Linked DNA regions of Xenopus tropicalis. The protein of the gene in region 2 purifies or fractionates together with the protein of the main gene of each other region. This does not show direct contact. Links are inferred from orthologs where the notes say so. Each region holds a gene or a part of one and is shown on either strand. Other genes may lie near its edges.

Region 1 (4,057 bases), about 140 Mb from region 2:
ACATGTCAGTGCCCCCAGCCTGTACCAGAGTGTGGCACGGCCCTGTATTCCTGTTATTTCCCCCAGTACATGTCAGTGCCCCCAGCCTGTACCAGAGAGTGGCACGGCCCTGTATTCCTGTTATTTCCCCCCAGTACATGTCAGTGCCCCCAGCCTGTACCAGAGAGTGGCACGGCCCTGTATTCCTGTTATTTCCCCCCAGTACATGTCAGTGCCCCCAGCCTGTACCAGAGAGTGGCACGGCCCTGTATTCCTGTTATTTCCCCCCAGTACATGTCAGTGCCCCCAGCCTGTACCAGAGAGTGGCACGGCCCTGTATTCCTGTTATTTCCCCCCAGTACATGTCAGTGCCCCCAGCCTGTACCAGCGAGTGGCACGGCCCTGTATTCCTGTTATTTCCCCCCAGTACATGTCAGTGCCCCCAGCCTGTACCAGAGAGTGGCACGGCCCTGTATTCATGTTATTTCCCCCCAGTACATGTCGGTGCCCCCAGCCTGTACCAGAGAGTGGCACGGCCCTGTATTCATGTTATTTCCCCCAGTACATGTCGGTGCCCCCAGCCTGTACCAGCGAGTGGCACGGCCCTGTATTCATGTTATTTCCCCCCAGTACATGTCAGTGCCCCCAGCCTGTACCAGCGAGTGGCACGGCCCTGTATTCCTGTTATTTCTCCCCAGTACATGTCAGTGCCCCCAGCCTGTACCAGAGAGTGGCACGGCCCTGTATTCCTGTTATTTCCCCCCAGTACATGTCAGTGCCCCCAGCCTGTACCAGAGAGTGGCACGGCCCTGTATTCCTGTTATTTCCCCCAGTACATGTCAGTGCCCCCAGCCTGTACCAGCGAGTGGCACGGCCCTGTATTCATGTTATTTCCCCCCAGTACATGTCAGTGCCCCCAGCCTGTACCAGCGAGTGGCACGGCCCTGTATTCATGTTATTTCCCCCCAGTACATGTCGGTGCCCCCAGCCTGTACCAGAGAGTGGCACGGCCCTGTATTCCTGTTATTTCTCCCCAGTACATGTCAGTGCCCCCAGCCTGTACCAGCGAGTGGCACGGCCCTGTATTCATGTTATTTCCCCCCAGTACATGTCAGTTCCCCCAGCCTGTACCAGAGAGTGGCACGGCCCTGTATTCCTGTTATTTCTCCCCAGTACATGTCAGTGCCCCCAGCCTGTACCAGAGAGTGGCACGGCCCTGTATTCCTGTTATTTCCCCCCAGTACATGTCAGTGCCCCCAGCCTGTACCAGAGAGTGGCACGGCCCTGTATTCCTGTTATTTCCCCCCAGTACATGTCAGTGCCCCCAGCCTGTACCAGAGAGTGGCACGGCCCTGTATTCATGTTATTTCCCCCCAGTACATGTCAGTGCCCCCAGCCTGTACCAGAGAGTGGCACGGCCCTGTATTCATGTTATTTCCCCCAGTACATGTCAGTGCCCCCAGCCTGTACCAGAGAGTGGCACGGCCCTGTATTCCTGTTATTTCCCCCCAGTACATGTCAGTGCCCCCAGCCTGTACCAGCGAGTGGCACGGCCCTGTATTCATGTTATTTCCCCCCAGTACATGTCGGTGCCCCCAGCCTGTACCAGAGAGTGGCACGGCCCTGTATTCATGTTATTTCCCCCCAGTACATGTCAGTGCCCCCAGCCTGTACCAGCGAGTGGCACGGCCCTGTATTCATGTTATTTCCCCCCAGTACATGTCGGTGCCCCCAGCCTGTACCAGAGAGTGGCACGGCCCTGTATTCCTGTTATTTCCCCCCAGTACATGTCGGTGCCCCCAGCCTGTACCAGAGAGTGGCACGGCCCTGTATTCATGTTATTTCCCCCCAGTACATGTCGGTGCCCCCAGCCTGTACCAGAGAGTGGCACGGCCCTGTATTCATGTTATTTCCCCCCAGTACATGTCAGTGCCCCCAGCCTGTACCAGAGAGTGGGCACAGCCCTGTATTCATGTTATTTCCCCCAGTACATGTCAGTGCCCCCAGCCTGTACCAGCGAGTGGCACGGCCCTGTATTCCTGTTATTTCCCCCCAGTACATGTCGGTGCCCCCAGCCTGTACCAGAGAGTGGCACGGCCCTGTATTCATGTTATTTCCCCCCCAGTACATGTCAGTGCCCCCAGCCTGTACCAGAGAGTGGCACGGCCCTGTATTCCTGTTATTTCCCCCCAGTACATGTCGGTGCCCCCAGCCTGTACCAGAGAGTGGCACGGCCCTGTATTCCTGTTATTTCCCCCAGTACGTGTCAGTGCCCCCAGCCTGTACCAGAGAGTGGCACGGCCCTGTATTCATGTTATTTCCCCCCAGTACATGTCAGTGCCCCCAGCCTGTACCAGAGAGTGGCACGGCCCTGTATTCATGTTATTTCCCCCCAGTACGTGTCAGTGCCCCCAGCCTGTACCAGAGAGTGGCACGGCCCTGTATTCATGTTATTTCCCCCCAGTACATGTCAGTGCCCCCATACATCCCATCAATGCCCCCAGCTGACAGTGAGGGGCCCTGCCCCCATACCCATAGGGCATTACTAGGCCTATAACAGTAATTGCCCCAGGCACTACCCACTCCAGCCCGTGTAACTGCCCCCTGAAGCCTTTCCTGGGGCCCCAGAATAAAAGAGCGAGTAGGACCCCCCAGTACCCAGCCAGGCCCCCATGGCCACTCACCGTCAGGCCGGTACCCAACACGATCACATCGTACTCCTCATCCATCGCGCCGTGAGGGGAGAGTGCGGAGCTGGAAGCTGAGCTGGACCAAAGATGGAGGAACAGCTTCACCGCCCTGTCTCCTTCCGCGCCAGCAAATAGTTCCTTCCTCTAACCCCACCCCCTGCCCCACCCTACGGCCCCCAACAGCCAGTATCGCTAGTACCGAGCTGCACTGCCGGGCACCGTCTCACTTAGTCCCTAACAGCCCCCCATGCGGGGCCCACAGACACCACAGAGGGACAATAAGGAAGAGGGCGTGTGACCTTAGTTATGCGGCTGTGAAAATAGATCCTTCCGCGTCTGCATCTTCCCAGCAAGGGATACTGGGGGGGCTAAAGATGGGAGGGTGGGGCACTGGCTGTTATCTGTGTAATAGCCCCTCTCTCATTGGGTGTCCTGCCTGTTATCTGCCCAATTACCCCTCTCTCATTGGGTGTCCTGCCTGTTATCTGCCCAATTACCCCTCTCTCATTGGGAGTCCTGCCTGTTATCTGCCCAATTACCCCTCTCTCATTGGGTGTCCTGTCTGTTATCTGCCCAATTACCCCTCTCTCATTGGGAGTCCTGTCTGTTATCTGCCCAATTACCCCCCTCTCATTGGGAGTCCTGCCTGTTATCTGCCCAATTACCCCTCTCTCATTGGGAGTCCTGCCTGTTATCTGCCCAATTACCCCCCTTTCATTGGGAGTCCTGCCTGTTATCTGCCCAATTACCCCTCTCTCATTGGGTGTCCTGCCTGTTATCTGCTCAATTACCCCTCTCTCATTGGGAGTCCTGCCTGTTATCTGCCCAATTACCCCTCTCTCATTGGGTGTCCTGCCTGTTATCTGCCCAATTACCCCTCTCTCATTGGGAGTCCTGCCTGTTATCTGCCCAATTACCCCTCTCTCATTGGGTGTCCTGTCTGTTATCTGCCCAATTACCCCTCTCTCATTGGGAGTCCTGTCTGTTATCTGCCCAATTACCCCCCTTTCATTGGGAGTCCTGCCTGTTATCTGCCCAATTACCCCTCTCTCATTGGGAGTCCTGCCTGTTATCTGCCCAATTACCCCTCTCTCATTGGGAGTCCTGCCTGTTATCTACCCAATTACCCCTTCTCTTTGGGAGTCCTGCCTGTTATCTACCCAATTGCCCCTCTCTCATTGGGTGTCCTGCCTGTTATCTGCCCAATTACCCCTCTTTCATTGGGTGTCCTGCCTGTTATCTACCCAATTACCCCTTCTCATTGGGTGTCCTGTCTGCTATCTGCCCAATTACCCCTTCTCATTGGGTGTCCTGTCTGCTATCTGCCCAATTACCCTGCTCTCACTGAGAGTTCTGCCTGTTGTCTATCCAATTACCCCTCTCTCATT
Region 2 (3,514 bases):
CAGTCCCCCCTAGGCCCAAACTGTACTAATGGCACCGACGTGTTTATGGGTCGGTCTCCGTTTCAGTACTTGACCCAATTCTCTCTTTCAGGGACACAGCAGGGCAGGAGAGGTTTAAAACAATCACAACGGCCTATTACCGGGGGGCCATGGTAAGTGGCACATTTATCTGTTGCTATGGGACCCCTGCTAGTTACAAACAGACCAAGTCTGTGTAAGGGGTAACTAACCAACTGCTGAACTACAATCAAGGATGCTGGGAGTTGTAGTACAGCGGCAGCCCAAGGGCCACTGGCTATAGGTGCTTGTGGGGTTGTGAGATGCACCAATGAGAGTTAAGAAGCTGAGCTGGGTACAAGGGTCTCGGGTTATATGTGGGACTGTGGTTGCTGGGAGTCGCTGGTTCTGATGGTTCTGGGTTTCTCCAACAGGGGATTATTCTGGTCTATGATATCACAGACGAGCGATCCTATGAGAATATCCAGAACTGGATGAAGAGTATTAAAGAGGTAAGTAGAGCCGGGGACACCCCTCTGTGTGATAGAAAATCCTTATGGTAATCAGTATGGCAGCTCCCAGCCTTAACTGTCAGTACAAATATACAGATTCCCCCTTACTAACGGCCCCGGGGTCCCCCTTACTAACGGCCCCGGGGTTCCCCCCTTACTAACGGCCCCGGGGTTCCCCCCTTACTAACGGCCCCGGGGTTCCCCCCTTACTAACGGCCCCGGGGTTCCCCCCTTACTAACGGCCCCGGGGTTCCCCCCTTACTAACGGCCCCGGGGTTCCCCCTTACTAACGGCCCCGGGGTTCCCCCTTACTAACGGCCCCGGGGTCCCCCTTACTAACGGCCCCGGGTTCCCCCTTACTAACGGCCCCGGGGTTCCCCCCTTACTAACGGCCCCGGGGTTCCCCCCTTACTAACGGCCCCGGGGTTCCCCCACACTAACGGCCCCGGGGTTCCCCCACACTAACGGCCCCGGGGTCCCCCACACTAACGGCCCCGGGGTCCCCCACACTAACGGCCCCGGGGTCCCCCACACTAACGGCCCCGGGGTCCCCCACACTAACGGCCCCGGGGTCCCCCACACTAACGGCCCCGGGGTCCCCCACACTAACGGCCCCGGGGTCCCCCACACTAACGGCCCCGGGGTCCCCCACACTAACGGCCCCGGGGTCCCCCACACTAACGGCCCCGGGGTCCCCCACACTAACGGCCCCGGGGTCCCCCACACTAACGGCCCCGGGGTCCCCCACACTAACGGCCCCGGGGTCCCCCACACTAACGGCCCCGGGGTCCCCCACACTAACGGCCCCGGGGTCCCCCACACTAACGGCCCCGGGGTCCCCCACACTAACGGCCCCGGGGTCCCCCACACTAACGGCCCCGGGGTGCCCCCTTACTAACGGCCCCGGGGTGCCACTAATGCCCCTCCCTTCTGTGTGCGCAGAACGCGGCGGCCGGGGTGGAGCGGATGCTGCTGGGTAATAAGTGCGACATGGAGAACAAGCGGAAAGTCCCGAAGGAGCGAGGAGAGAAGGTCAGCGCCGTGTGTGATTGTTTAATAATGAGCAAAATGGCCACTTTGTCTTAAATGTGTTGGGGGCGGGGCTTGGGGCCAAGTAATAATGTGTGTCCCCCAAAGCCTCCTGAGTGGCCAATCAGCTGTCTGTCTGTCTGTACCCAATCATCTTCTCTCTCCTTCTCCAGCTCGCCAAGGAACATGGCATCCGATTCTTTGAGACAAGTGCCAAGTCCAGTCAGAATGTAGATGAGGTTAGTACCAGGGACTGCTAATATCCTTATCATTTACAGTAGGGGGTACATTATCCCTTATAATACATGAGTGATACTCAGAGTTCCCTGTATAACTCAGCCTGCAGCCTTGTGCCTTTATATGGAGGGCACAGAACCCCTCAGTGACTGCTAATATCCTTATCATTTACAGTAGGGGGTACATTATCCCTTATAATACATGAGTGATACTCAGAGTTCCCTGTATAACTCAGCCTGCAGCCTTGTGCCTTTATATGGGGGGCACAGAACCCCTCAGTGACTGCTAATATCCTTATCATTTACAGTAGGGGGTACATTATCCCTTATAATACATGAGTGATACTCAGAGTTCCCTGTATAACTCAGCCTGCAGCCTTGTGCCTTTATATGGGGGGCACAGAACCCCTCAGTGACTGCTAATATCCTTATCATTTACAGTAGGGGGTACATTATCCCTTATAATACATGAGTGATACTCAGAGTTCCCTGTATAACTCAGCCTGCAGCCTTGTGCCTTTATATGGGGGGCACAGAACCCCTCAGTGACTGCTAATATCCTTATCATTTACAGTAGGGGGTACATATAACCTGTATGTATTTTGCAGGCATTTAATACACTGGCCAGAGATATTCTAATGAAGATCTCCAAGAGATCAGTAAGTATATGGAAGGATTTTGGAACAAAGCTCCGCCCCCATTGCCCCCCCCCCCCCCCGATTCTGACTCCTCCCTGTGTTTGTTTAGGCGCCGGGAGTTAAGGACCCGCTGGATCTGAAAAGCTCATCGAAGAAAGGAAGCAACAAGTGTTCGGTGCTTTAATGTGGCGGAAGTGGCCGTCGGGCCCCAGTCAGACTATGGGGAAAGCCAAACGCCTCTGAGCGAACCCCGGGGCCCCACTGTGAAAAGAGGAAAATCTCGGGGTCCCCCCCCTGTTTTCAGGACTATATTGGGGGAATCCAAGCACCACAGGGGTGTTATATCTATAGATTCTAGTAGCAAAATGTCCCCTGCTGGGGGCCCTGAGCAGCGACTCTGCTGCCCCCCGGTGGCGGCTGCCGGAACCCCCTCCTACAGGGGTGAAAGGAGAAGAGCGCAGTTTCGGGGGGCAGAAGGGCCCAGAACTTTGGGATATTCCATGTATGTTCTGATTCGCCCGTGGAAAGGCAACGCTAACGGAATTACGTGGGGTCCTACGAGCACGAATTCAGGGATTTCATAGGAATTATTGTGTTTCCCAACATTCTGTTATTTTGCCAAAAACCACAAAATGGCCGTTCTTAAAGGGATACTGTCGCCATTATAGGCAGTTTCATTCCATAGAATCATATTTTATTATAGATATATATAGTGATAGTGGCATTCTGCATTTCGGCATTTTATTGGCTGGTGAATCACGTGACTAGCTCTACTTCCTCTCCGGCTAAGCACAGCAGCCGCCACCTTGCTTTATGGCTGGGCCATTAGAATTCATAGCAATAGTCTGTCTGTGAGAGAGAATTCAGCCTTCTTCTACCAACTCTTTTTCAAAGGGGGGTCACTGACCCCGGCAGCCAAACCCTATTGCTCTGTGAGGCTCGCTGGTTGCTAAGATAATTTGAGCCCTAGCAACAGTATATCTGACCCCGGCAGCCAAACCCTATTGCTCTGTGAGGCTCCAGTTTTATTGTTACTGTTACTTTTTATCCCTTATCTTTCTATTCGGCCCCTCCCCTATTCGTATATCAGCCTCTCGTTCAA

Evidence for each region. The genes of interacting proteins can lie anywhere in the genome.
Region 1: the proteins of rab13 (region 2) and gdi1 purify together in Homo sapiens (affinity purification with mass spectrometry; 4 studies listed by BioGRID and IntAct, counting the BioPlex papers as one, with this or other methods). This does not show direct contact. The link is inferred for Xenopus tropicalis from reciprocal best matches to the Homo sapiens genes RAB13 and GDI1.

What each region holds. Positions count from the first base shown.
Region 1 is NC_030684.2:142,342-146,398, reverse strand, and holds the start of gdi1 (rab GDP dissociation inhibitor alpha), read right to left. Parts: upstream 2,803-4,057; 5' UTR 2,709-2,802; coding exon 2,664-2,708; intron 1-2,663. UniProt on the Homo sapiens protein: Regulates the GDP/GTP exchange reaction of most Rab proteins by inhibiting the dissociation of GDP from them, and the subsequent binding of GTP to them. Promotes the dissociation of GDP-bound Rab proteins from the membrane and inhibits their activation.
Region 2 is NC_030684.2:143,558,457-143,561,970, forward strand, and holds part of rab13 (ras-related protein Rab-13), read left to right. Parts: intron 1-91; coding exon 92-152; intron 153-431; coding exon 432-509; intron 510-1,451; coding exon 1,452-1,541; intron 1,542-1,711; coding exon 1,712-1,777; intron 1,778-2,382; coding exon 2,383-2,433; intron 2,434-2,521; coding exon 2,522-2,596; 3' UTR 2,597-3,514.